Linked DNA regions of Canis lupus familiaris. The protein of the gene in region 2 interacts with the protein of the main gene of each other region in a pairwise test. Links are inferred from orthologs where the notes say so. Each region holds a gene or a part of one and is shown on either strand. Other genes may lie near its edges. The genes, in order: BMF, BCL2L2, FATE1 and KASH5.

The links.
Region 1: the proteins of BCL2L2 (region 2) and BMF interact in binary tests that used the Homo sapiens proteins (3 or more experiments, as listed by UniProt). The two-hybrid records come from large-scale screens. The link is inferred for Canis lupus familiaris from reciprocal best matches to the Homo sapiens genes BCL2L2 and BMF.
Region 3: the proteins of BCL2L2 (region 2) and FATE1 interact in binary tests that used the Homo sapiens proteins (3 or more experiments, as listed by UniProt). The two-hybrid records come from large-scale screens. The link is inferred for Canis lupus familiaris from reciprocal best matches to the Homo sapiens genes BCL2L2 and FATE1.
Region 4: the proteins of BCL2L2 (region 2) and KASH5 interact in binary tests that used the Homo sapiens proteins (3 or more experiments, as listed by UniProt). The two-hybrid records come from large-scale screens. The link is inferred for Canis lupus familiaris from reciprocal best matches to the Homo sapiens genes BCL2L2 and KASH5.

The regions. Positions count from the first base shown.
Region 1 is NC_049251.1:7,602,882-7,610,061, reverse strand, and holds the start of BMF (bcl-2-modifying factor), read left to right. Parts: upstream 1-2,667; 5' UTR 2,668-2,769; intron 2,770-2,818; exon of another isoform or gene 2,819-2,945; intron 2,946-3,154; 5' UTR 3,155-3,282; intron 3,283-5,107; exon of another isoform or gene 5,108-5,248; intron 5,249-5,450; 5' UTR 5,451-5,455; coding exon 5,456-5,747; intron 5,748-7,180. UniProt on the Homo sapiens protein: May play a role in apoptosis. Isoform 1 seems to be the main initiator.
Region 2 is NC_049229.1:3,689,726-3,696,997, forward strand, and holds BCL2L2 (bcl-2-like protein 2), read left to right. Parts: upstream 1-2,304; 5' UTR 2,305-2,377; intron 2,378-2,654; 5' UTR 2,655-2,742; intron 2,743-3,221; 5' UTR 3,222-3,229; coding exon 3,230-3,661; intron 3,662-4,257; coding exon 4,258-4,407; 3' UTR 4,408-4,766; downstream 4,767-7,272. UniProt on the Homo sapiens protein: Promotes cell survival. Blocks dexamethasone-induced apoptosis. Mediates survival of postmitotic Sertoli cells by suppressing death-promoting activity of BAX.
Region 3 is NC_049260.1:120,978,091-120,985,394, forward strand, and holds the start of FATE1 (fetal and adult testis-expressed transcript protein), read left to right. Parts: upstream 1-3,513; 5' UTR 3,514-3,608; coding exon 3,609-3,714; intron 3,715-4,737; coding exon 4,738-4,865; intron 4,866-7,304. UniProt on the Homo sapiens protein: Involved in the regulation of endoplasmic reticulum (ER)-mitochondria coupling. Negatively regulates the ER-mitochondria distance and Ca(2+) transfer from ER to mitochondria possibly implicating it in the regulation of apoptosis.
Region 4 is NC_049222.1:107,752,597-107,759,293, reverse strand, and holds part of KASH5 (protein KASH5), read left to right. Parts: intron 1-120; coding exon 121-198; intron 199-455; coding exon 456-512; intron 513-820; coding exon 821-880; intron 881-1,484; coding exon 1,485-1,549; intron 1,550-1,711; coding exon 1,712-1,799; intron 1,800-2,101; coding exon 2,102-2,245; intron 2,246-4,173; coding exon 4,174-4,232; intron 4,233-6,082; coding exon 6,083-6,128; intron 6,129-6,697. UniProt on the Homo sapiens protein: As a component of the LINC (LInker of Nucleoskeleton and Cytoskeleton) complex, involved in the connection between the nuclear lamina and the cytoskeleton.

The DNA.
Region 1 (7,180 bases), on a different chromosome or scaffold from region 2:
CCTGGTGAGTCTGGCAAGTACATGGATCCCAGATAAAAATCCTGCTCTACCATCTTCCTTGCCTTGTGGCCCCAAATCTGCTGTGATGAAGCAGACAGAGCAGTAGCAGCTTGGAGCAAGGGTTGGGGAGTGGAGTAGGTGAAGAGATAAGGGGAATTAGTATGACCTCTCCCTCTCAGGGCCTATGATGCCTGAGAAGACAGGTTCAGAGCTGCTGAGTCCTTCAGTTCCATTCCTGATCCTAAGTAATACACATGGTCATTACTGGCCAGCTTGAGACATTGGCCCAGGTGGAAAGCCATTAAGAAGAGAAGGATAGAAGGAAGGAGGGGAAAGAGGTCTGTGCGTGGTGAATGTGGCAAGGGCTCCCCAGTGCCCTGCATGGAAGCTGGGCTTGGTTTCCTAATTTACCCACATGTGGCATGAATGCTAGGTCACCCTGACCAGGTGACACTCCCTCTTAGCCAAGCCTCCTGGTAAAGTAACATACCTCCTTTTGGCTCCAGCACCTCTTTCTGAACATCCGTCAACTCCTGGAGGATGGGGCTGCTGGCCAACTTTGACCCTCATCTTTTTTCCCTTTTCTCTTTTCTCTGGACTTTGGAGATAGTGTTTTCCTGCTCTAGCAACCACAGCCCTCAATATGCCTGGTTGGCTCTCTTTCAGGTATGCTTTGAGGGAGCTCAGGGAAGAATGGGTAGGAAAAAGGTACAAGGAGACTTCAGGCTCCTCTGGGCTAAGCATTCCAGCTCCACTAAACTTAAATCTGCCTGAGTTTACAACCAGAGAGAGCAACTTGGTGGTCAGAGGACTGTCCATCCCGACTATCCCTGGGGTCAGGCCCATCATCGACCACCCAGTCTATTGCAGTGACTGGCTCTCTCTCACTGATTTTGGCTTCTTTTATCTTTCTTAAAATGCAGCCTTAGTTAAGTTACTCTCCTTCCTCCTCCCCTTCCTCTTCTTCTTCTTCTTCTTCTTCTTCTTCTTCTTCTTCTTCTTCTTCTTCTTCTTCTCTTTTTCTTTTTTTAAGGATTTTATTTATTCATGAGAGACACACAGAGGCAGAGATATAGGCAGAGGGAGAAGCAGTCTCCCTGCGGGGAACTCCATGCAGGACTCGAACCCAAGAGCCTGGGATCGTGACCTGAGCCAAAGGCAGACACTCAACCACTGAACCACCCAGGTGTTCCTTTTCCTTCTTTTTTTTTTTTTTTTTTAAGATTTTATTTATGTATTGATGAGAGACACATAGAGAGAGGCAGAGACATAGGCAGAGGGAGAAGCAGGCTCCCTGCGAGGAGCCTGATGGGAGACTGGATCCCAAGATCCTGGGATGATTACCTGAGCTGAAGGCAGATGCTCAACCACTGAGCCACACAGGTGCCCCCAAGTCACTCATCTTCTATAAAAAAATCTTTGGTGGCTCCCTTTTGCCTCCAGTACAGATTCTCCAGCCTAGCATTGCATGGACACCTATGTACTCTGACCTGAATCTATCTGTCCATGACCACCCTTTCCCAAATCCTGGGATGCAACCAATGACCCCTCCTTCAGCCTTCTCTGCTCCCAGGACAGATTCTCCAGTTCAGCATTTTATTCTGCTGCCGTGGGCTTAGGGTACTTTACCTGGTTTTCCTTATCGAAAAATCTCCCCATTCTTCAAGGCGCAACTCAAAAGCCATCTTCCTGAAGCTTTCCCCAGTGTTTTGTGTCCTGAATTTTTCTGCAGCTTCCAGCAGTCCTTGTCCCTAAAAATTAACACATTTCATGTCACATTCCATAATTTTCGAATCTTCCTCTCCTGAATAAACTGTAAGCTCCCTGAGGACAGGCACAGGGTTTTGGCTCCTAATCCAGTATTTGGCACAATGCAGGTATTCAATGAATGTTTGTGAAGTGGCCTGGGGACTTCCTTATGGATAGCAGGAGATCCACAGGACACATAATCTTCTTGGCAGCACAAACCCCATCTCTGGATGCTGCCATAAACAGGATGTGTGTCAACTGCTCAAGCAGCCCCTGCATTCTCGATCTCCCCTCTCCTCGGCTACATACTTATTTTGTAGGTGTCCACGCCCCCTCAAGAAGAGGACCTGAGGGTCCCTCTGGATGTGTTAGATCTGAATGTCACTCAGTAGTAACAGTGCCAGACGCAGGTGTCCGCATGCTTCCCGAAGATTCGCGCCTGGAGTTTCTTTCCGCCGGGCTAGGCAGGCGGGAGGGCGCTTTGCCACCAGGCCGGGGTCCACGAGGACACGCACCTTGCCCTCGACGGACGCCGCCCGCTGCGTCCTCCTCTTCTCCCTTTCTGGACGCTCCGTCATTATTCAGACCATTCCCGAGAAAGAGAAGACAAAAGTCATTTTGGCGCCCCCTCTCTCCCTTCTAATGGAGAGGACCAGGGCCTTTCCGGTCCTTCCCGGGCTTGCGCTCGGGATCGGAATCTGCGCCGACTACGGCTCTCCGATTGCGTTTCTGACGGGAGCCGGAATTTCGCTCGGCCCCTTGCAGTGTTTCCAAGGGAAGGTTGGTACATTCGTGACGGTCCCTGGCAGCCGCCCAGCCCGGGACTCGGGGCTCCGCTCGCCATTGGCCGCCGGGGGCGTGACGCGCCGGAGGCGGGGCCTCATCAGCTGTTTGCGGGATGCCCCGAGCGGGCGTATTTTGGAAACAATACCGCGCGGTGCACGGCGGCCTCCTCCCGCGCCGGCCCGCCAGCTGCCGCCGCCGCCCTTGCCCGCGCCGCCCGCCACCCGCCGCAGCCCGGTGAGCGCGCGGGCGGCCGGGGGCCGGGCGGAGTTGGATCGCACCTCGGCGGGAAGTGGGGCGAGGAGTCGAGCTGCGCATGGGGGCCCGAGAAGGGTTGGGCTGCGGGCGTGTGGGGGGACCATGGAGGACTGGAGCGCCGGGGTGCGGGAACGCGGTGCAGGACCCTTATCTAGGTGCGCTGCTCCGCGAGGGAACTTGGGGGCAGTAGCATTTCAGACAGCAGGGAGTTGGGTCCAGGTGGGCAGGGGAAGCTGCGGTTCACTGCTGAGCAGCCCTGGGCTCCCGAGAACGGCCCGGCCTCTGGATCTGACTCGGGGGTAGGACAGGGGGTGGGGGGGCGTCCAGCCTCCCTGCGGAGTCTGAAGGCTCCTCTCCTTAACAGCTGGGCTCTTTCCCTCCTTCCCAATTGACTCTGGGCGCCAAGCCCCCGAGTGCTCGTCACGCTGGACCCTGGCGCGGAGCCCTGGCATCACGACTCGGAGGCCGAGACTCTCTCCTGGAGTCACCCAGGTCTGCTGTGTGTCGTGTGGGTGTGTACGCATGTATGTGTGCGTTCCCAGATTTTAACTCCTACGGAACCTCCGAGTGCCTGGCTATTCTCCTAGGAGGAGGAGTCTTAAGTTCAGCATCCCTCTTACAGCCCTTCGGGGCTGAGATGGTTCCAAAGCGGGCTTTGGTTCCCCTTTGCTAGGAATAAAACCTTCCCAGGCAGTGCTCTCAAGAAGTGTGCTCCTCCTACCAGTTTGGACATCACCTCCTCAGCTCAGGCGAAGAGAGCAGAGGGTCTCTTTACCATATCCCAGTTTACACTTGACTTTGCCCAGCACCCCTCGGGAGGCTCCCACGTACAGAGGAGCCACCTGCAGTTCTTGTGGAGAATGGGTAGGGTCCCCAGGGCTTGCAGAGACACACCCTATGGCTGCATTTCCCCGACAGTCCAGTCCAGGCAAGGGTTGAACTTTGGGGCCTTGCTGGGTGGGGGAGGGGGAGGTGACTGGCTTCAAAGGAAAACCCAAGACAATGACTCCTGCTTGTGATTAGCTTTGGAGGGCCCCCTCTTAGCCTGGGATTGCCAGTCTGCAGAGAGAAGGCTGAAAGGCTGGAGAAGAGCCCCTGCCAGGTGACTGGCAAGACAGTACTTGGTCCTTTCAGCAAGAAACTTTGTTTCCTGTTGCTGATAAGCTGAAGATCTCCTACCCTCCTTTGGGAAACACTTTCTAAAGAACACCATGTGCCTGTTTTGCCATCCAAGCTGGCATCTCCTCACTCACCAGGGAAGAGGGCAAAGATAGGGTCATAGTAGCTCATGGACTGGTTGGGATGGAGGGAAGGTTGAAGCAAGCGCCTCGGAGAGAGCTTGCATTTTGGAAAGCCAAGTTTCTGAATTTAAGTGAGATTCCTTTAAGTATCTTACCAGCCTACAGACCATTTGGCTTGTTCTTCAAAGGCAAGAAAGAGACTGGGAGACAAAATTCCCAGGGGATCTCTAATTGAATCTGGCAGTGACAAACAGTATCCCTCTGAATCCCAAACCATTCAGGTAGTTGTTGCTTCTGGCTGCCCCAGGGACCCTAACAAGTTCCTGGTGTATGTGTGTGTATGTAGGGGGCTGAGTTGGGAGCTCAAGATGCTGGGTGGCTCCAAGCTCAGATTTCCAAGAACCATCAGGTGGAGCAAGAGGAACTTCTTTATTACCAAGAAACTCCTATCAACAACCTGAGTAGTACAGAGACAGTGAGTGAGGTCACAAAAAGAGGGCTGAATTTCACTTCCTTCTGTAAGGAGGGTTAGACCAATCTCAGGTTCGGTGCCGACAGGAATGGTAGGTAGACTGTGGGCAAAGAAGATTAAAGTCATGGAGACGAGTGAGTAGGCTGAGCTGGGGGAGGCTGGCCACATTGCTGGATGTTGGACCTACCCTCTAGGCCAAGCTGTGGTGGGCAGATGGCTCTGCTCTGTTGGGAGGCCAATGACTCACTTGGGTCTTTCTGCCCTCTCTCCCAGGACCCACTCTTACCACACCGTGGAGCCTGTTTGTTGTGTTGAGCAAGCAGGGGGTGGAGACTAGGGTAGATCGGCAGCTGGGCGGGGCTTAACAGGTTTGGAGGGAACCTGGCTGCCCTAGAGTTGCTGGCTTTTGTTTTTGCTGCTGAGCCTGGAGCTCAGTTCAGACTGAAATGAGAGCTTGGTGGTTACTCCTCAGGGCAGTGAGTGAGTGAGTGTGTGTGTGTGAGAGAGAGAGAGAGCGAGCGAGCACTGTGTGTACAGCCAGTCCCAGCACCCTCTGCCCTCCCATAGCCACTCACAGGGTCTGGTCTTGTTGACATTTCCCCAGGTGTCCTGCATGCTTGTAGCCGTTGATCATACCCCTGCTAGTGCTCAGAGTCAATAGCAGTCAGACTTCATGACCGGAACCAGCCTGGGTCAGGAGAAAAGACCAAGGTGGGGGGTGGCTCCCAGAAGGCCCAGGGAAGAGGTATGGAGCAGTGAGGCTGTCCTCAGCCTTTGGGGCGGGTGTCATCCTTGGTAGTACTTTATCACCAGTTGTCTGTCATCAGTACCTGGCCCTACTCACCCAAATAAGAAGGGGAAGCAGGAAAGAAAAAAGGGGAGGGGAATCCCTCAGCTTTGGCCTGGGTAGAAGCAGCATCCCAGAGGCCTGCATTGTGCTCTAACAGGGGAGATGGAGCCGCCTCAGTGTGTGGAGGAGCTGGAGGATGATGTGTTCCAGCCAGAGGATGGGGAGCCGGGGACCCAGCCTGGGAGCTTGCTCTCTGCTGACCTGTTTGCCCAGAGCCAGCTGGACTGCCCCCTCAGCCGTCTGCATCTCTTCCCTCTCACCCACTGCTGTGGCCCTGGGCTTCGACCCACCAGCCAGGAAGACAAGGCCACCCAGACCCTCAGTCCGGCCTCCCCAAGTCAGGGTGTCATGCTGCCTTGTGGGGTGACCGAAGAGCCCCAGCGACTCTTTTATGGTGAGTGCTCTTAGCCTCAGGACTCCTCCCATAGAGACTGGGGGAAAAGAGGGGACTTCCCCTCCCCAAACGTGCACTTTGTTATTTCCTTCCCCAAATTGAACAGCAGGGGCTATTGATTCCTCGATTCTTGTCATTCTGCTTCTCTGCTTGTCATTGCTCTTCACCTGTGCTCCTTAGGCACTGAGAAGGGCAAATTGCTATGCCTGCCATCATTTCTGCCTTTTTGTCCGTTTCTGCAGGGATCCTTGGGTCTGTGGTACCTTTTGGGATAGGAGAGTGGTACCTGGGCCTTGAGTTTTACATCCTGTGGCCCGTTGAGCGGCCCAGCCTTTTGTGTCCTGGGAGTGATATGCCTTTTGTAAATTGGCCAATGTGGCCCCAGTGAAGGTTGGGAGATCTGTGTGAATCGCTGTTGACACTGAAGGGAAAAACCCGGCCCTTTCTGGGAGGGGAAGATTCCTGAAGGCAGAAGGTGTCACTTGGGACTTTCTGTGCTTGGAAGGGGAACTAGAGAAAGAGGTTGGGCCTGCCGGGGCTCGATGCCAGTAGAGGGGCTGTTTCCAAGGCTCAATCAGACAAGACCCCTTCATTTGTGGGCTTAAATGGTTTGCTTTATGAGTAACATGCCCTCCTCTGGCAAAGGGACAGGGTTAGACACTTAGTCTGCTTTCTTCTTTTAGCACAATAGCTTATGGAGGGAGGGGAAGGGCTTGGAGGCGAACTTGCTATGTCTGATGGAGCATATTGAGAAGACGCTGCAGTTATTCCCAGAGGGAGCTGCCCTGCAGTTCTTTTTGGAGTTTGAGGAGATGGATAAGGCCGGCAGGGAAGAAGGAACAGAGGAAGAAGGCAGGCAGGCAGGCACCCCTAGCGGCAGCTCGACTGCCAGCACTGGGGTAGGGTGCAGCGCTGGTCTCTAGCTCTTGCGGTCTGGCCTGGGGCTCCTCCAGAGAGGAACTTGGCTATCCAGTGGGTCTGAAGAGTTTGCTCTCCCTAGTTTTAGTACCATTGTCCCGAGCTGTGGGACCTGGGCCCAGCCAGACGAAAAAGTGAAGGCACATTTTGGTTTTCTCTTTCTCTGCCTTGCTTTGCTCAACCCAGGAACTCTGGAGAGCTGCCTCCGGTGCTTTTCCAGAGAAGAGCTTCAACCTGCTACTGCATGAAAAATAAATTGTGGTCAAGCATAGCTTGGTAAATAAAGACAGAAGGCTGGCAGGTTCACCCACACATACTACTTGTACCCTGGCACTGCCTGTGAATGGAGAACTACAGGGAAGGCTGGGACCATTCCCTCCCGTTCTCTGAACGGCAGCTTTTAGACGCCTGGGCAGCCAGCAGATCTGTCTGTCCAAACCTGGCAGAGTGCCCCGATGAAGGCCTCGGCCCCAGGTCTCAGCAGGGAGCGTCAGGCACCTCGGGGTGGATAGTGG
Region 2 (7,272 bases):
AAGCAGGCTTCCCACAAGCCCAAAGTGGGACTCAATCCAGAGACTCCAGGATCACACCCTGAGCTGAAGGCAGACACTCAACCACTGAGCCACCCAGGTGCCCCTAAGACTGATATTGAACCTTTATTCCAAATCAATTTTTGTTTCTTTTTCTTTTTTTCCCTCTTCACAGTTGAGTCTTTGGTTCTTTAACAGCCACTACAGTTATCTTCAAACATCAGAGTGGGCCTGCTCAAATAACTGACCAAGGGTGTTGAATGATTTGTTCAGTCAACATTTACTGAGTGTCTATTAGGCCTGAAGAACATAGCAGTGAATATAATCCCGTTCTTGCTCTCACAGGGTTTATGAATAAATGGGAGGGCAGACAGAAACATTTGGATCCTGAAACCTAAAAGTGTTTTTATTTCAAGTAAGTGTCTTAGAAGAAATCAGGATTGCAAATGAAGGACTGGACTGGATTATTCTCTAAAGAAGGCAGCCTTGCTGGTGGCAGCTGGAGTGATCAGCCCAAGAGCAAAGAAGTGAGGAGGGTGATTGAAAGGATACAGTCATAAAGGTGTGAAATCTGCTGTGCATTCAGAATGGAGGGGATAACTGAGTTTGGACTTGATTCTTTTTTCTTTTTTAATTTTATTTTATTTACTCATGAGAGATACAGAGCGAGAGAGAGGCAGAGACACAGGCAGAGGAGGAAGCAGGCTCCATGCTGGGAGCCCGACGTGGGACTCAATCCCGGGTCTCCAGGATCACGCCCTGGGCTGCGGCGCTAAACCGCTACACCACTGGGGCTGCCCTGAGTTTGGACTTGAAAATGGAGTTGTAACAACATAGATTACCCAAAGCAGAAGAGATGATCTTACAGCAATGCACTTAAAGACAAACTTTAAAGTCAGACAAAATTGAGTAACAGTTTCTAAGTATATGATTTCAGCCAAATTACTTACCGTCTCCAAGCCTCACTCTCTTCATCTATAGAATGAGAATAAAGCATAGGGATTGGTGTGAGGATAACTATCATACATGTAACGAAAGCACATAGCACCTAATAACTCATCAAAATGTATTTGTTGTTACTATTATTGTTACAGAAACCTTTCTTCTCCTGTGACTGTAGGGCCAGGTCGGAATATCAAGGCTTGAAGTAGAGGTAGAAGTAAAGGGAACCAGCAGGAAAGGAAAAGTGGGTTGCCGCTTTCTAGCCTTTGGCTGGAGATCCCTTCAAATGGAGCCGAAGGACGTGCCAGAGCAAGAGCCAGTGGGGCCCAGTCAGAATGCCTGAGAGAACATTCCTGAGGATCACCTGTAGACAGACTGCTTAATATTCTGTGAACTGCCCTGTATAAATATACTGCCTTGTATAAATAATAAGTATACATATATATGTGTGTGTCTATACATATAATTATATATATATTATATATATATATATGTAATCTGAAAGAGTAAACATCAACCTTGTCATTAGCAACTTCCATGAAGGGAGGTGGAATTGGGCAAGAGGTGGAAGGGGGGGGGAGATTAAGGACTCATATTTTTCCCCCTTATACCTTTATGTTGTTTGAACTTGTCATGAGAATTCATGTGTTGAGTAAAAAGAATTAGAATGAAAACCAATCTGATTACAAAACAAAAAGAAGAAAGAAAAAGAAAGAAAGAAAAAGAAAGAAAGAAAGAAAGAGAAAGAAAGAAAGAAAGAAAGAAAGAAAGAAAGAAAGAAAGAAAGAAGAAAGAAAGGAAGGTAAAGAAAAGTTACCTGCAGAAACTACTTGGCGATCCAAGTCTTGATGCCTGGCTAAAGCTTCAGCCCATGAAGAGACTACTAGATTAGAGGTCCTGGAGAGAAGAGGAAGTGAAATGTTCAGTGTCCATGTCGTGTCTGCCAGTCCCGCAAGGCAAGGAAGGCACCTGGTCAGCAGTTCCCATTCTAGTGGGAACTGCTCCCCTAATCCAGGCATCCGCTCCTGGGCAGGAAAAATTCAACAAGTGCATGGAACATCAGAGACCTTCTGGGAAATGGTGAATTTACTCCGAGGTTTCCTGAGGCCTAGCCGGCTTCTCTGGGCAGCCTTCAGTCTCAGGAGCCCAGACTGGCCCTCGGTATCCTCCCAGCCCTACTCCTCTTGGCCTCCAGCGGGCCTCTCTCTTCCGGAGTTGTGGCCCTTCCCAAGCTTGCTTCCCAGCCCCGCCCCTCTCTCTCTGGACGCATCTCTGGGCCCCATCATCACCCGGCGCCGGGCCCTCCCTCCCGCCCCCCCTTTCTCCTCCCTCCTTCCTTCCCTCCCTTCCTCCCTCTCTCCCTCCCTCCCAGCTCCTGCACCAGGAAACGGCCCGGATCCTGGCAGCGGCCTGACCCGTGAGATCCCTAACCTGGCAGGCAGGCGGGGTTGGAGACTTGCTGAGGGTGGGGGTGAAGGAGGAGCTGGGCTGTTGGACTGCACTGGGGGGGAGCCGGGAGTAGAGATGGTGAAGGCAGGAAGCCCTTGGCCCTGGGTTTCCCGGGAGGACAGTCGTTAAACATGGATTCGGCCACACAGCTGGTAGAATGTTGGGGGCAGGGGCCGGTCCAGGAAGCTGCAACCCCAGCCTTCTTAGTCCAGACTCTGATCGCTGGCCTTCCCCACCTAGCTCTGCTCTCCCCCTCCCCTTCCCAGGGCTCCACGCTGGCCAGGAGGATGAAAGGCCCCAGCTGGGGGCTCCTTGCCACCAGGGCTGGGTCCTAAGAGCTGCCATCCAGGCTAGGTGAGTGTCCCCTTTCTTTTCTGTCCCAGGCAGCCCTTTGCTTCTTCCACCTTTCCCTTCAGCCCCTGTCTCCACCCCCATTGTGTGCCTCTGCCAGCATCTTCACATCTTCCCTCTGGGGAAGTACTAGGCCCCTTCCTTTAGCCAAAAAGGTGTGTACTGTGGAAGGGGGGGGTGGTTTGCAGGGGTGTTGCAGAGCTGGTATTCTCCTATTGTGGAAAAAAATCTAAAGTATTTTAAAAATAAAATTTACTTGTTTTGCATTTAATGTGGCATATTATGAATTTAATGGCCAGCCCCTCATGCCCTGACCGCTCACCTTGACTTAACTCTTGTGTTCTTGCCCTTCCCTGCCCAGTGGTCTCTGAGCATTTCCTCCCACCTCTCTCCCTGTCTCACTGGGTTGGCCAAGCCTGAAGTACCCCTTCTGGCTCTCTGACCATATATTCATGCCAGTCTTTCATCCTTGACTCTTACAGCCGCCCGGATGGCGACCCCAGCCTCAGCCCCAGACACACGGGCTCTAGTGGCAGACTTTGTAGGCTATAAGCTGAGGCAGAAGGGTTATGTTTGTGGAGCTGGCCCTGGAGAGGGCCCAGCAGCTGATCCACTGCACCAAGCCATGCGGGCAGCTGGAGATGAGTTTGAGACCCGCTTCCGGCGCACCTTCTCTGATTTGGCAGCCCAGCTGCATGTGACCCCAGGCTCAGCCCAGCAACGCTTCACCCAGGTCTCTGACGAACTCTTCCAAGGGGGCCCCAACTGGGGCCGTCTTGTGGCCTTCTTTGTCTTTGGAGCTGCACTGTGTGCTGAGAGTGTCAACAAAGAGATGGAGCCACTTGTGGGACAAGTGCAAGAGTGGATGGTGGCCTACCTGGAGACACGGCTGGCCGACTGGATCCACAGCAGTGGGGGCTGGGTAAGAAGCTTCTCAATTGCTGCTCTGCACACCCCTCCGAAAAAGCTTGTCTCCAGAGGGAAGATGGGGGCTCTGGCTGGAGGCTAGGGGCGGAGTCGCCCTATTTGGGTGGAATCAGATGCCTTCACTATGGGTATCTCGCTAGACTCTGCACTCCAGGGCTGCCATGCAGTCATCACTGGATGGGTTCATGGTCCAAAGCAGAGGACAGACTACACAGTGCCTGCAGGGAAATGGCATCCAGCTGTCAGGAACTTTTTACACCAGAGTACGGTGACATGGGCGGTGGTGGGGATGGGGTGTCAGGGATGGGGTGGTAGTTAGGAAAGCCTTGGCAAAGGATGTCAGTTCAGAGCACAATTTTTGGCCAAGGAGAGGCTGGGATTCACTTGAGGTAGAGAGGGCAAATGAGCCAGGCGCTCATGGGGGATGATGGGGCCTTGCAGCCAGTAGAGCTTTGGCTGGCGAGGAGCTGGGTATGGGGTAGTGCTTGCAGTGGATGGAACTGGAACTCTTCCTCTCCTCTTTCCTCCACTCTTTCCTCTCCTGATCTCCCTTTCTCCTTCTTTCTCTCCTACTTCCCTTCTCTCCCACAGGCGGAGTTCACAGCTCTATACGGGGACGGGGCCCTGGAGGAGGCGCGGCGTCTGCGGGAGGGGAACTGGGCCTCAGTGAGGACAGTGCTGACGGGGGCCGTGGCACTGGGGGCCCTGGTCACCGTAGGGGCCTTTTTTGCGAGCAAGTGAGCAAGTCCGGGGCCAGGCGGGGCTAGGTGTGGCTAGGGGACAGGAGAGCAAGAACAGAACAGGAGAAATGCCCTTGGAAGAAGTGGGGTGAATGGATGGGCACGGAATGGGGATCGGAAAGGGCAGGGTACTGTGTGAAGGAGCTGTGTTTGCCAGGCAGGCAGTTGGAAGGATGAGCTGGGAGACATTAGGGAATGTATTTGGAAAGTCGGGGGCGGGGGGGCGGGCAGGAGATAAAGTCATTCCAAGGTCAGGAGGAGGTGGGAGAGATCATGTCTATAGGTGTAGGCACACAAAACTATACCTAGAACTTAGCTTGTAGCCATGAGGAAGGTCGACTTGCAGGAGGGGTTGTGTCTCCATTGGATGAGTGAGAGTGTGGGGGGGAAACAGAGGGCACATTCCTTTGAAATGGAAGCTTGAGGTTCTCTGGTGATAGAGAGAGATGGCTGTGATGGTGGGCTGCTTGGACATGTGTGTGCATGTGTACGCATGCTTGTGTGCATGCCGGGCTGCTTGTCTAACCTGTTGGTGGCTGTACTTGAGAAGAGCTCCCTGTTGGAGTGGCAGGAACAAGGGGCAGTTCTCTGCCCCTCCCCCCCACTCCCCCCCTTGTCCTGATGCCTCAAGGCTGTGGGAGAAACACTGTATCCAGTAGAGGGCTTTGGGCACTTTCTGGCAGAAAGTCATCAGCAGGCTTGAGGGAGAAGAGAAGTTCTGTAGCTTGCCCTGTTGCTTTGCCATCCCCATTCCCTGTACATCACTTACTTGCTGCTGCCTCCTGGACTCTGACTGAAAACAGGAGAACAGGCTGCCAAGCCTGCAGGGGGTGGGTGGGGGTGGGGTTGGGGGGTCTGGACCTACCTGCCACCCTCCTTTCCCACTGGGGCACACTGGTGCCTCAGGTGTTCCCTGTCTCTGGGACTGTACCCAAGCTTAACTCTAAATTGGGACTCTAATTTTCCTTTGGAGTGTGTGGAGGTAAATGTTGATCTAGAGTATGGTCTGGGTCCTGCACTGTGTCTCAGTGAGACTGCTGATGCCTTGAGAGGAACATTCCAGCTCTGAACCCCATGGGTGTGAGGGTGACCTGTAGTCCGTGACTGGCCTATTCCATGTAGTGGGCTTTGGTGCTGCTTTATCAAGGGCCAGGTGTATGGGTTCTAGAGTACCTACGACCTAGAAGCATTTCTTTCTTTGAAGCCACACTGTTTGCATGGGTATTACTTGTCTGTACCTCAGAGTCTGAGGACACTAACTTTAGAGCTCACAGTCCTCTAGAATGGACTCAGATTATAGCATTTTCTTTTGAGAGAGAAATTATTTCACTCCAGATGTATGTCCTGAGCCAGACCTCACTGCTGCACTTCCCAAGGTGCTAAAATTGCTGCTCTCCAATGCTGACTTCAGACACAGTGCTCTAGAACCCTGCCCTTGATCCTGAGCACTGATCAGCTTAGCTAGACCATGGTTGACTCTTCTTAGAGATTTTCATTTGGTCCCAGAATGTGGCAACATAGTTGTACTCGCGAGAATGTGGGACCAAAATTGGCCTCAGGTGTTTAGCCCAGACTTCTGCTTTTGAGAGAGGGCTGCACTTTTTAAACGGTATTTATAGGGGAAGTGGTAGACTGCATGCACCACTTGGTCTGTTGTGAGTATGCTGATACCAGAAACTCAGAGCTGGTCTGTGGCAGGCAGTTGGGGTGGGGGTGGGGGGTCTCTGACTTGCTCAGGACAAACTAGACCAGTGGTTTTCAGACTGCTTGGCAGAACCCTGAAGTTTTGGAGGAGTTGCCTCAGGAGTCCTTGGGGAGATGAAGAGGGGGTGCTAAGCAGGCTGGGCTACATGTCCTCAAACAGAATAGCTCCCCTGGTGGCTGTCTTACATATCGGGGTTCAGGGTAGATTTAATTTACATTAAGGGGTTTGCTGCTGAAAAAAAAGTTGGAAAACCACTGACTAGACCATCAGCTCCAAATTGGAGCCCACTCTCCCCCAAGTTTGGGGCAGACTCTTCACCTTCCCTTCTACCACAGGACCCCTGACCCTGCTAGCTTTCCTGGGGGCCTTTAGCAAACCAGAGCAGCAGGGACCATGGTCAGGTAACTGAAATGCCCTGTGCTGAGGCCTTCACACCTGGGTGGAAGTAGACATTGTTTTCTGAAAGGGTAAAGGGCTTGGATTCCCAGAAGCATAGCTTACTTGGGGTCATAGTGGGCAGTTTTGATCTGTCCTGTCCTTTATAGCTTGAGGGGCAATGGAAACCCCAGAGACTCTTCTGTCAGGGAAAACTAGAGACTCTCTTCTAGAGCCATATAGTTCCTTGGAATTAGCTCTTGGCCAGGAAGGCTGAGTATGGCTCCCAACTTTTAAATCTATTTCATTAAAAAAAAAAAAAAAAAAAGGGAAATAAATCTAAATGCCATTTTTTCAGAGATTAAAGAGGTGGAGAGGGCATTTCTTGCTTTCCAGAGCCCAAAGGGACAAATAGGGACTTTGCTTAGGCCAAGGAAGGAGAAGTAGGGCAACTAGGTCCTGCAATTATTAATCCCACTCCCCATTTATCCTAGGGTATATACTATTTTACTTTTTTAAATCATAAAATGGCGGGAGAACAGATTTGGTTAGTTTAGAAGAAAAGAAAAAGCTCTATAAATATAAATATATATTCCTGTATTTTTATTTAATAATTTATAAATATCAAGTTCATTTGACTTTTATTTTTGTGTAATATGTAATGGTCGTATTGAAAAAAAAATAAAGCCCAGAAGTTTAATGAGAAGGACTGAGCAGGGTTTGTGACTTTTACACTCTGTAGCCTGGTGTCAGGACATTTCTTGATCTAATCATCTCTTCATGACC
Region 3 (7,304 bases), on a different chromosome or scaffold from region 2:
CCCTGTGCTCTAGGGATTTTCCAGGCCTCGGGCCCCAAGGTTGTCACACTAGGCAGTGGAGGCTTCCCAGCCACGCTGTAAGGTAGGGATTGTTAGCTCCATCGTCCAGTGTGGAGACAGAGGCCCAAAGAAAGGAAAGACTTGATCAAGGCCAAATCGTGAGATCATGATTAGAATGGGCAGAGCACAGGGGCTGCCAGAGATAAAATAAAGGATACACAGTCAATTGTGAATATCAGATAAACCGTGAGAATACATCTTCAGTGTAAGTTTGTCTCAAACGTTGCGCAGAGTGTACTCACACTAGGAACTTACTTGTCCTGGGACCCGTGGGTGGCTCAGTGGTTGAGCACCTGCCTTTGGCCCAGAGCGTGATCCTGGGGTCCTGGGATTGAGTCCCGCATCTGGGGCCCCTCTGCAGGGAGCCTGCTTCACCCTCTGCCTGTGTCTCTGCCTCTCTGTCTCTGTGTCTCTCATGAATAAATAAGTACAATCTTTAAAAAAAAAAGAAACTTACTTGTCCTTTATCTGAAATTCAAATTTAGTTGGCGGTTTGTATTTGTATTTGCTCAGTCTGGCAGCCCTGGCCAGCAGAAGCCTATGGTTCCTGCTTCCCAGGCTCCTGGGTCCCCCCAAAGCACACTTCTCCACTCTTAAGGTGGCCTTCCAGAAAGCTCGGATTTCATTGCAGCTGCTCCACTGGATCTGGGAAGGGCTTCCTCAGGGCCTTCAGGAATGCAGGCAGGGCCTGGGTCTGCTGGGCTCCAGATTAGTCCCAGTGCTGGACAGGTGGGGCCAGGGAGGGGGCCAGGCAGTCCAGACCATGTCACCCTCTCTAGGCAAGTTGCAGCCCTTCCTTTTCTCTCTCACACTTTCCTTCCTCCCTCCTCCTTCCCTGCTTCCTCCTCTTCTTCCCTCCTCTTCCTGGCCCCAGCTGGGCTTGGTTCCTTTTGCAAATCACCTCCTCTTCCCCCCAGGGACTCTGGAGCTATTCCCTAGAGCCCAGGGTTCACCTCTGGTGATTGTATCAGTCAGGGTTCTCTAGAGAAAAGAAACCAGTAGGACTTATGTCAGTACATGTATGTATGTGCAAATGCCTATGTGTGTGTATACAGAGATTTATTTTGAGGAATTGGCTCCTGCCATTATGGGGCTTGCAAGGGCAAAATCTGCAGGGCAGGCCTGCACATTGGAATCTGAGGCAGGGAGAGATGCTGCAGTCTTTAAAAAAAATTGTTTTTTTTTTTTTAAAGTTTGAGCATAGTCCACATACAATGTTACATTAGTTTCAGGTGTACAATATAGTGATTCAACAAGTTTGTACATTATGCTATGCTCAGTACAATTGTAGCTGACACCCGTCACCATACAATGTTATTTTAATATCACTGACTCCGTGTTCCTGGTGTTCCTGCCGTGCTTTTTACTCCCATGATTTATTCCTTCCATATCTCCCACTCCCCTGGACCTATTTTGCCCATCCCCTACCCCCCTCGTCTCTGGAAATCAGCAGTTTGTTCTTTGTATTTATAGGTCTGAATGTGCTTTTTGTTTGTTGTTTTCGACTCCACATATGAGTGGAATCATATGGTATTTGTCTTTCTCTGTCTGACTTATTTCACTTAGCATAATACCCACTAGGTCCATCTACATTGTCACAAACAGCGTGATTTCATCTTTTTTAATGTTTGCACAATATTCCACTGTATGTGTATATGTCATGTCTTCCTCATTCGATATCCAATATTCTTATTGATGGACACTTAGGTCACTCTGTATCTGGGCTGTTGTAAATAATGCTGCCATAAAAATAGGGGTGCATATGTCTTTTCACATTAGTGTTTTCATTTTCTTTTTTTATTGTTGTTTTGTTTCATTTTCTTTTTTTAAGATTTTTTTAAATGTATTTATTTACTCACGAGAGGCAGAGAGAGAGAGAGAGAGAGAGAGAGAGAGAGGCAGAGACACAGGCAGAGGGAGAAGCAGGCTCCATGCAGGGAGCCCGACATGGGACTCGATCCGGTCTCCAGGATCACACCCTGGGCTGAAGGTGGCGCTAAACCGTTGAGCCACCGGGGCTGCCCTTTGTTTCATTTTCTTTAGGTAAATACCCAGTAGTGGGATTATTGTTTCATACAGTATTTCTATTTTTAATTTTTTGAGGAAACTCAATTCTATTTTCCATAGTGGCTGCACCAATTTGCATTCCCACCAACCGTGCGTGAGGGTTCCTTTTTTTTTCCATGTCCTCACCAACACTTGTTTCTTGTATTGTTGATTTTAGCCATTCTCACAGGGGTGAGGTGATACCTCATGGTGGTTTTGATTTGCATTTCCCTGATGATGAGTGATGCTGAGCATCTTTTCACATGTCTGTTGGCCATCTGTATGTCTTCTTTGGAAATAAGTCTATTCAGGTCCTCTGCCCCTTCTTAAATTGGATTTTTTTGTTTTTCTAGTGCTGACAGTTGTATCAGTTCTTTATATATTTTGCATTTTAACCCCTTCTCAGATACATCATTTGCCCATATCTTTTCCCATTCACTAGGTTGCCTTTCTGTTTTGTTGACAGGTTCCTTTACTGTGCCAAAGCTTTGTATTCTGATTTAGTCCCAGGAGTTTTTGTTTGCTTTTGTTTCCCGATGTTGCATTCTTGAGCAAAATTTCTTCTTCGCTGGAAAACCTCAGTCTTTGCTCTTCAGGCCTTTCAACTCATTAAATGAGGCCTATCCACATTATCAAGGATTAGTAATGTCTTTTACTTAAAGTCCACAGAGTGCAAATGTCAACCAAAGCTCCAAAATAACTTCATAGCAACACCTAGACTAGTGTTTGATGGAATAACTGGGAACTATAGGCTACCCAACGAACAGATAAACTTGACCCTCACAGTGGTCTAATCATTAGGGAAGCTGAGAGAGAATTTGGACTTAGACCAGGGACTGCAGGGCCTGCCTGGGGACAGTGGGCCCTCCAGTGGCTACAGGTAGATCCCTTCTTTCCTGCCCTTCCCTCCTTAGATTCTCATGGTTCCTGCTCAGACTGACCCAAGGCATTAAAAGGCCATCTCCCCTGGGAACTCTACATTGGGGGGAAACAAGATGTGCTCTGTAGAGGATGCCTCCTGAGGGGAGCTGTGGCCTGAAATACTTGCCAGAGCTGGGCTTGCAGAAGCCACAACAAGTTTGGGATCTAACCCTGTTCTGGCTACTGACTGGCTTTGGGGTCCTGTGCCAGTATCTACCTCTCTTTAGAAATGATGGAGAGTAGATCCCACTGGCCCCTCAATGGGGCCAAATCATGTGACCCGAGAGCCAGGGTAGTTCTCACAGGCAAAGTTTCTGAGATAAGTATCAGAAACTCCTCCTCCTAAGTTGCTTACAGAGTAGCAGGGGAGAAGACTGTGAACCAAGCCAATAAGATACAACAGGAACACAAGGTGCTGGGTCCAAGGCCTGAGTCCTGTGGGAGAGTGTGGCTCCACCCCCATGGCCAGATATATCTTCCTCGAGCTCCTGCCCCTGGAAGAGCAGACTTTCCAAGAGTCTGCTCTGTGCCCGGCTTCCTGTGTATCCTGGCTATAGCTTAATAGCTAAGCGCTAGCTGTGATGGCAGGAGGCCCCCCTACTATCAAGGAGGAGATGGAAACATCCATCGCTGAAGAGCTGGTTCCTGGAAACTATGGGAAAAGCCAGGAGCACCTGGTGATAGCAGGTGAGGAGCCCCTGTAATGTCCCTTTCCTTTGGGTGTCTGCACCCAGTCACATGTGTTGGAGAAGGTGTGTTCATGGCTGGGAAGAGTCATATATATGCAAGTATGTGTGGCTATGTGTGTGTCTGTGCCTTGGTGTGCGTATACCTGTATTTGTGCCTTGATGAACAGGAAGCTGGGGGGGAAAGGTATTGATGATGTGAGCATTTTGAAGCCTGTGAGAGAGTAGGATGGGATCCACATGTGTGGTCCTTATCTCCCCCTGTCCAAGCTACCACTGTGTTTATGGCAAAGTATCCAGAGCGCTCAATTTATAAGATCATTCAGACCAATTCTCTCTCCTTTTTAATGCCTTTTCCTCCTTTAGAGTAAAATCCAAACTCCTTTCCTTGATCTACAAGAGCCAGCCAATGCCACCTCCTCAATATATTTCATGCTGTGGTATGATGACCCACAGCACACTGCATTTATACTTGTCCTCATAAGACCCGAAGGCTGATTCTTCCTGATAGCCTTTGTGTTGACTGCTACCTCTGCCTGGGATGCTGTTTTCCTAGATTTTCCATGGCTGCCATCATTTTTGTCTTTCAGGTCTCTGCCTCACAGGTGTTTCTGGCTTTTCTAGAAGTAGCCCTTCCTTCCACCATGTTGCCCTGTTCTTATCATTTTGGGAGCATGTATCTCTTGATCTGAGTTAACACTGATAGATTATACCCATTTTGCACCCCTCACTTCAGCTAAGCACACATAGACAGTTGATTACTAGATTGCTGAGATCTTGTGTCTTGGTCATTGCTCTCCCTCCAGTAACCTAGCCCAGAGTTTGGCCCTCAAGAAATACTTACTAAACTTTTAAACAAATGAACAGACTGAGGCTTGGGATCTGCCAGGGGACAACAGTGAATGAATATTGAATGACTCCTAAGAAGTTTGGGTACCTTATCCTCTTTCTGGTGTGTCCTGTGTCCAGGAAGCCTTGGTATAGCCTCTATGGGTGTTTCTGGGGCCTCTCTTCTTTTGCCTAGAAATGATGGAGCATGGATCCCAGTCTGTGGGTGCTTCTCAGCGGCGACAGAAGGCGGATCCAAAGGCTGCTGGCTCTGCTGCAGGTCAATCGGGTTGGAATATGACTGGCAACCGGAGCAAGAAAGCGGTACTGTATGGAGTCCTTGGCATGCAGTGGCTAGGCTGGGGTTGGGACAACAGACTAAAGGGGCTCCAGCTTCATGACGGTAGGTTGAGCAGAGCCAGATGTTGACTTGGGGCCAAAGGAAAAAGCTTTTGTGTACCAGTGAGGCAATGAAGGCAGGGATGTCCTTTGAGAGGTCAGGGCCATCCTTTGGTAGGCTGGGAGCTCAACCTTGGGTTTCCAGAACACCGGATTCACATATTCCTTGGGGACTACATATACACTTTATTTTGCAAAACTCTATTGTGTGTGAAATGACACTTTCCTTTATAAATAAATAATTCTATATGTATATTTCCTTCCATATCTATATTATCTATATTATCTATATAAATTATAACTATATAAATTATTTAATTATCAACTAAATAATCAGCCTGGAATCATGAGAATCATTGATGAATAAAAGGAAGGAAGGATAGGAAAGAAAGAATCTGTCTGTAGCCATTGGAGGCCCCACTGTCCCCATACAGGTCCTACAGTCTCTGGTCTAAGTCCAAATTCTCCCTCAGCTTCCCTAATGATTAGATCACTATGAGGGTCAAGTTTACCTGTTTGTTGGGTAGCCTGTAGTTCCCAGTTATTCCATCAAACACTAGTCTAGGTGTTGCCATGAAGGCATTTTGGAATTTATTTTATTTTATTTTTATTTTTATTTTTTTAAAGATTTATTTATTTATTTATGATAGAGAGAGAAAGAGAGAGGCAGAGACACAGGAGGAGGGAGAAGCAGCTCCATGCACCGGGAGCCCGACGCCGGACTTGATCCCGGAACTCCAGGATCGCGCCCTGGGCCAAAGGCAGGCACTAAACCGCTGAGCCACCCAGGGATCCCCATCATTTTGGAATTTTAGTTAGCATCTACACTCTGTGGACTTTAAGTAAAAGACATTAGTAATCCTTGATACTGTAGATGGACCTCATCTACGCTATTAAATAGAAATATACATACATAAAACAATATGATTCTCAAGTCTGGAAAAAGATTAAGACAAGTTAGGTTCCTATGTTCCCTGGCTGTTAGGAAATCCAATCAATTGAATCTGACCATTATGTAGCCAATCCTTTAAAGTACCTTTAATGTGGGTTAAGAAAAGCTCTGGAAAACTGGCAGGTACACTGTTACAAAGGATACTGGGAAAAGGTGGTCATTTTGGAGAGGAGGGAGACCTGAGTGTTCTAGGGAATCCCGTGAGATCTCTCACTGTGTAGCCAATCCTTTAGGTTACATTCACTGCTAAGTGAGAAGAAGCTTTGGAAACATGGTTGCTATACTGTTGCAAAAGTTGCTGGAAAAAGAGAACCCAGTTGGAGAGGAGAGGGACCTGACTGTTGAAGGGAGTCATCTGAGTTTCAAGTTCTGTATCCAATCTGTTCCACACTTTCACTGTGAGGGAGGGAAAGCTTTAGAAAAATGGTTGTTATACTGTTGCAAATGTTACTGGGAAAAGGCAACTCGGTTGCAGAGGAAGGGAAACCCAGTGTTCTTGGAAATCATCTGAGTCTCATTGTTCTGTAGCTAATCCTTTAAGCTACATTCACTCTGGGTGAGGGAATGTTCTAGAAAAAAAATGGCAGCCATATTGTTGCAAAGATTACTGGGAAAAGGTAGCCATGTTGGAGGAAGGATGACTCGACTATTCTAGGGAATCAGTTGAGTCAGGTAGTTCTGTAGCAGATTCTGTTAGCCAGAGTCACCATGGTTGTTACACTGTTGCAGAAGCTAGTGGGGAAAGTCAATAAGATTGGAGATTCCGGAGGCCTGGCTGTTCTAGGGAATGAGATATGATAAATGCCTAAGTGATTCCACTGCCAATGAATAAAGAGAAAAAGAGCTCCCAGAGACCTCTTGGGAATGGAAATAAGCTAGAAATACTGAATTGGTTTAGTCTCCAATGGCAGAAGTCAAATCAGGTTGCTCCAGCAGGTCAGGCTCCAGCAAGCCACCCATGCCCATGAGATTGAGGCAGAATGGGATGAGGGGGGGCAGTGGGGAGATATAATATCTGGATTAATTACAGTTACCTTTTAGGACCACAGGAATACTTTAAAAAGAAACAGCTGATATACTGATATGTATTATATACTAAATATATTGAATTTAGAAATTAGACATTTAGAAATAAGAAATTTACCAATTCTATTTATCATTGACTTTTGAGCACCTCCCCCCAAATGGAACTACCACCACCTTTGACAGAATCACAGCATGAAAGGCCAAAATTTCATGATAGTGTTTTGCTGATTTGGGTGTTGAGGAAGTAGTGTGCCTTGAAGAGTAAATGAAAATAAAAATAACACTATTTGAAGTAGTAGGCAGAAGCTAGGAGTTAATGAAGTTCATAGATTTTCTTAATCTCCATCAAAGTGCTAGCTATAAAATTCTTATATATTATTATGCAT
Region 4 (6,697 bases), on a different chromosome or scaffold from region 2:
CCAAACCTATAAAGTGCCCGAGGCCTGTCATGGCATGTCAGCGGTTGAGAAAATGCCAGCTGTGGGTACTAATATTCCCATTGGCTGAAGTGGACTTGACGGGTCTTTTCCTTCTTCCAGAACGGGAAGCTGCTGGCTGAACGGGATGGAGTCAAAAGGAGGAGTGAGGAGCTGGCCACAGAGAAGGAGGCTTTGAAGGTGCCACCCCTCCCTGGTGGCCATTTTATCAGTTTCAGCCCCTCTGGCCTCGTGAAAGCCGGGGCCTTCATCCAGCCATCAGGCTCCCAGGGCTCTGGGCAGCTCAGCTGCAATCCCTCTTGGGATAGCTCATGTCCAGAGACATCGTGGGAGGTTGAGAGGGGCTTGGGAGAGTTGGGTGGGCTGGGAAGGGCAGCAGCACTAGCTGAGGCCAGTCCCAGGAGGCTGGACAGATGGACAGGCTCCTTCCTTGGCAGTGGCAGCTCTGTGAGTGTGAACGCCTCATTTGCCAACGAGATGCTGTCCTCTCCGAGGTGAGAGGCCCCAGGGGGTGGTGAAGGACATTTACCTCCCATGTGCTCCCGGCTATCCCCTGCCCCTGCCCCAAGGTCTGGAAAGGGAAGTCCTGCCTGGGTCTCATCCCCTGGATAAGCAGCCTGGAGGGGTCAGAGGGTTCCCTGCACCCAGGGTGGCAAGTATGTCCCTGCAGGATTTAGAAACCTGGCGCTCTTCCCCCTGGCCCAAGCTCTTCCCTCAGACTCACCCTGCCAGTCTCCCCTAGCCCTGCCTCAGCATCTTTGCGGGGCTGGGCCCAGTCTCAGGGGGCTTTGGGCTTCTCCAGCGCACTCACCACGCTGAGGGTCTGGCCAAGACGTTGGAGGAGTACAGAACAACCACCCAGGTACCCGACTGCCTTCCTGCCCACCCGTGGCCCCCTGCCTGGCCCCACTCTTCTGCCATCTCTGTGATTTTCTGCCTCCTCTTGCCCCTGTCTCTCTTTTTCTGGAGTTGTGTGTGTCTCTCTCTCTACCTTTTCACTTGCCCTTTGTTTCCTTCCTCTCTCTCCCACCCTGCGTAACTCCATCTCGGGTCCAGTTTCATTCTCTGGGAGGGTCTTGTCACCACTGCATCTCCCCTGCTTATCTTTCTGTGTGCCTGCCTTTCTTTGATCTAATCTGTCTTTAGGGATAACTCTCCCCTCTGTGGGTTCTGAGGGTTCTGAGTCTCTTACTCCTCATGAGTCTTTTACCTCTCCGTGAATCTGTGGCCATGTATCCTGTTTTTAATCTTCCTGGCTGGTGGGCTACCCTCTGGGTTCCTGCTGCTCTCTAGCTCTCTTTGGCTTCCTGAGTTTCTGTCACTGCTCTCTTCCCCTTGTCCCTGGGCAAGACGCTTCTGGAGGAGCCCAGGGAAATCAGGGGAGTGGAACTGACTGTCGGAGGAGCCCAAGGCTGGGAGATGGAGAAGAACAGAGGGGCAGGGGTCCCCCACTCCCTCCTTTGCAGGAACTGAGGCTGGAAATCTCACACCTGGAAGAGAAGCTGAGTCAGACCCAGGAGGGGCCAGATGAGTGAGTGGAACATAAGGGGTAGAGGAGGTAGGAGGGGAGCCCCAAGGCCGGGAACCCTGACCTCCAGCCCCAATGTGGGCAAAGTAGCCACCCCAGAGGGGGTGTACTGATGGGTAGTGGGCAGGCACAAAGAGAGCCTTCCCCTCTTGACCATGTGCCCAGGCTATCAGAAGGGGCCCAAGTGAGAAGAGTGGGCTGGACCAGGCTGCTGCCCCCATCGCTGGGTGTAGAGATTGAGGCCATTCAGCAGGTGGGCCTGGCTCCTGGGGAGCACCCCAACCCATTGCCAGCCCCGGCTCTAACCCAGCCCTGATTCTCACCATACCCCATCCTCCCCCAACGAGGACCATCTCAATCCTTCACCTACATCATCCCCACCCCCATCCTTGGTCCTGCTGCCAAACCCTTCCCAGGCCCTGCCTCTACCCGCTTCCCAGCCCAGCCTCACACCAGCCCCTTGTCTCCTCCCACCCCATGCCTCAATGCCTCAGCCCATCTCCATCCCCATCTCTCACCCGACTTTTGCCTTCACCTGGCCCTCCCTGGCCTTAGAAAGGACTTCTCCTCTCCCAGAAACAAGAAGTGGCAGCCGCTGCTCTCTCAAGCCCTCTGTGTGGAGTGTGGCAGTGGGAGGAGGTTGCCATTGAGACGGATGAGGAAGCTGAGTTTCCCTCTAAAGCCCCAACTGGGGCACAGGTGAGCATGGGAAGGGCTCAGAGACCACTGGAGTCCAGGAGCTGGGAAGGGGGCCTGGGACTCCATGTGCTAGGAGCTCGTTGCCCATCCCATGGGCACATCTTCTGGACACAGAGCCCAGGCCAGCCAGGAGACCATCCTTGCCCTCTAGGGACTGGCCCATGAGGGTAGGAGACAGGAGCAAACAAAGCAAACCCAGACTGCATGGTGGTAATTTTGTAGTTGAGAAAATGGTATCAGGAAGCACTGCATTTACAATGGTTCTGCAGCGGGAAGGTAAAAAGTGCATCCTTCTGACAAATGCCGTAAAAATACAGTAAGCTTTTACTTTTTGGATCTGAGGCACTTTTAAGAACAGCTTAGCCAGCCCACTGTGAAATCTGGAACTCAACCATAGTGGTTGTTTTAGGACTTCTGTAATTACCTGAGCAATATTTCAACATCCTTTGAAACAACTGAGACAATTCATCTTCATTGTCCACAAGAGAAAAGTGAGATTTTAATCTATCAGCACCAAAAGTCTCTGTCTCCCTTTTTTTTTTAAAGAAAATATTGCTAACAGCTCTGTAACTGCATTGTCTTGAAAATAACAATGCTTCAGAATTATACTATTTCCTGTTCTTAAAGGAGAAACTCATTCCTTTGCTACTTTCTCCCTGGGTTGAGAGAAGCTTCTGTGCTTCCCTTCAACACTAGTGCTGTCTGATTTTTTTTAAGTTATTTATTTATTTGAGAGAGAGAAAGGGAGGGAGTGTGAGTGTGCGGAGGGGCAGAGCAAGAGGGAGAGAGAGAGTCTCAAGCAGACTCCACACTGAGAACGGAACCAACAGGGGGCTTTATCCCAGGACTCTGAGATCATGACCTGAGCCAAAACAAAGAGTGGGATGCTTCGCTGATTGAGCCACCCAGGTGCCCCTGATTTGTCATTTACCTCCCCTGATATCTCTGCGAGGTAGGCATCCTCATCCCTCATCCTGTTACCTATGGGAAGCTGAGGCTCAGAGAGGTCACCTGTCCCCAGCCACACAGCCTGTGGGTGGCAGTCACATTCCTCAGAGGAGGTATAAATCAGAGTGAATTCTGCTGTGAGCTCTCAGACGTGCCATCTAGGGGACTGCTGACCTAGGCCTCTGGGGGTCACCAGCTCTCAGTCCTGGAGCTACTTTGTGGAGCCACTCAGGGCCCAGTGGGGACATGATGCAAAGGGGCCATCCCCATGCAGGGCCATGCATGTGCAGAGGTGGGGGCAGGCCCGGAGGGAGCCCAGCAAAAAGGGGACCTGTGTTGTGTGGGAGACTGGAGAGGGGGTCACAGGAAAACTGTGAGTTTATTTTGGAGAAGAGGGAGAAGTTAAGTGGTGTGAGGAAAGAGAGGCCTTGCTGGCAGCAGAAAGTACAGGCACAAGGATGTGGGGTGTGAAAGCACAGAACATGCTTGGGAAATGGAGTGGTGAATGGCTAGGGAGCGATGAGACCGGATTGTGACAGGAATTCCTTATCAAGCCGCCCAGGGCAGGCGGCTGGGGGTATGGTCAGCTTTGAATGTAGAAAGATCCCCAGGGGGACCGGCTAGAGGCAGGGAGGCCAGGGAGAAGCTGGGGCAAGAGTCCAGAAGATGAAACTTGAGCCAGGCCAGGGCCTTGGGATGGAGTGAGAGGAATATGCAAAGGGAAGTGGACAGGGGAGATGGGGCTCTGGACAAGCAGGCTGGAGGCGCAGGGTGCCCCCAGAGACGCCGATCTTATCTTGCAGCCCAGTAAGATGGGACCCTGAGGGACATCCAGTGGCTGCACAAGCCTCGTTCTTGGTTCTGCTCCTGGGGCGAGGGAGAACCAGCCCCAGGGAGGGAGTCCAACAGGTTCTAGAAGTAGGTGGTGAATTCTTGCAGGTGTCACAGCCCCGGAGACCTAACCTTTCCTTTTCCCACAGAGAAACTTCCAAGGAGAGCCAGCACACCCTCATGGAGGAAGACAGGAGCAATCAATGTGGTAAGAAGTTTGTCCCTTCCAAAGCCGTCCCCCTGCCTTGGGATGACACTACATTCTTTGACAAATTCAAATAGCCTACAAGGGTTGAAAGAGCCCCAGGGGAGTGGCAGGTCATTTACTCCTTCATTCATTCATTCCCTCACACTGAAGTGACCCTCATCCTGTGAACCTGGATGAGCCACCCCCAGCCCTGCCCTCAGTGTCTCCTAGCCTAGAGGGAGACAGACTCTGACCCAGCCGGTTCTGGGAGGACATCTGGCATTTCAGGCCACCTGCAGAGCAGGGGGGCTTCCCGGGGAGATGATGCTTGAATGGGGTCCCGTAGGAGCAGTACTCAGATAGGAAACTCCTAGACAAGAGGACAGTTGGCTAGCTAATGGGACAGCTCAATCACTTTGTCACTGTCACTGAACACACCTCTCCCAAGGCCAGGGACCCCTGGGATGGATGACTGAAACCCAGACTGACCCATGGAGAACCCAGGGAGTCAGGAGACAGTGGAGGACTCTGGACTTGGACACCCTGGGTTCAAAGCAAGCCCCAGCTTGCTTACTTCATGATGGGGGTGGTGTGAGCATTAGTGCCACATAGCCCCAGCCCTGGGATTGTGATGAAGCAGGTGCAGGCCTCTAAGGGGACCTAAACCACTGGATGTCTGGGCCCACCCTCCCCTGGGGCCTGGCCTTGGGGCCTGTGGTTTCCTGTGATGCCTCCCGCCTGCTGCTGTCCCCCCTTCAGGCTCTCGGCTGTGACAACTAATGAGGCTGCCTGCCACTGGCCTCTAATTGGACTTGTCTGAGAAAGCTGAGATTGGGCAGGAAGGGGGCTCCAGAGCTATGACCTCCCCCTACGTCACCAGGGAAGGGAAGGGAGGGGGGCTGAGTAGCAGTGAGGGTGGGGGCTGAATCTTGAGTTTCCCAGGATCAGGGCAGTGTGACACCGGGAAGCTGGAAGCCAGGGAGGCAAATCCTGTGCCCCCTAAAGGTGGCAGCTAGGGGTGAGAGCTGTGATCTGGAGAGGGGCCGAGAGAGGAGCCCCCTGGAGCGCAAGTTGAAGTCCCAAGGGATGAGACAGCTGTGTGTCTGACTGGGCAGCAGAGGCTGGGGGCTTACCAACCTGGACACCTTTCTGGGTGCTAGTGAAGACACAGCTGTGTTCTGAGGGTGTCAAGGTACTGGCAGCTGGAGGGCTGGATCCCTGAATCCCTTGCTGGATCCCCTACAAAGGTGGTAGCCAATGGTATGGACCTCTGGGTCTCTCAGGGGGTACTCGATCTGGGCCGCTTGAGGTCTGAGTCCCCAGAGAGGTATTCCAGGGGCTCAGGCAGCTGCAACCCTCAGAGGGGCAGAAGTTGGCAGCTTGCACACCGAAGAGAAATGATTTGTGAGGAGAGATGTTCACAGTTGGCTTCTGGAATCTTGGTCCTAAAAGAAGACTCAATAAACCTGAGACTCACTGAAAAAGACACAAACCTCACCCCCACCCCCGCCCCGCAGGCATAAAGTGGGGGGTGGAGTCCACCCCTGCCCTAGAGTCCCAGAGAAACTCTGAGTCTTGTTTGGGAGAGTAATTGAGCAGAAGCCTCAGCTCCTAGCTAGGGCATCAGCTGGAAAACAGCAGAAGAGAAAACCGGTTTGATCAAGAGACCCTCTTACCCTTTGGGGGGTCACACACTCTTTTGCTGAAAATTCCCCTGTGAAATATGCACACTGACCTACACACAGCAGTTTCCTCATGGGAGGACACCTCCAGACCCATCCATTTAAGAACCCCTGCTTTAAAGGTTCATACAGCTCCACGGTGGGCGAAGGGGAGCCAAGCCAAGCAGTATGACTCTGTTGTCCCCTCAGGTTGCCCAGAAGCGAGAATGAGGAGGAAGTAGAGCCCCAGACCATGGTAAGCAGTCCCCACCCACTCCAGGCCCTTGAGGAGGGTGATGCAGTGACAGCTCCTCCCAGCCCTCACCCACACTCCCACTTCTCTTGAGCAGACAGAAAAATCATTTGGCCAAGAGATAACAAGGCCCTTGCTATAGCTAATGAGAGCGGACAGCGTCGTGGGGGAAGGCCTGCAGGCCAGTGGGCGGCCAGAATGTTCCCAGGGGACCCCCCAAGCGCATACATGGGGCGGCAGCCGCTAAGCCACAGGCCTCACAGACGTGGCTACACCCCCGGAATGCGAAAATGCACACGCACATGCACCCACACACAGGAAGGGGCTGGGCCCTCCCCAGCCAACCCCAGAACTCCCTGGGGCACACACCTGTCATGGCTCTCCCTCCTGGCACCACACACACCAGCAGCTTTGCGCCTCCAAGCAGCAGGGTGAGGTGCAGGTACCAGTCTCATTCTCAGGCTGGGAAAGGGAGTGAAGCTCAGAGAGGAGAGACAGGGAGCCCATAAGTCCTCAGGATGGGAATGTGGGATCCCAGGTATTTGCCGGGCATCCAGGCCGCTTGGAGTCCA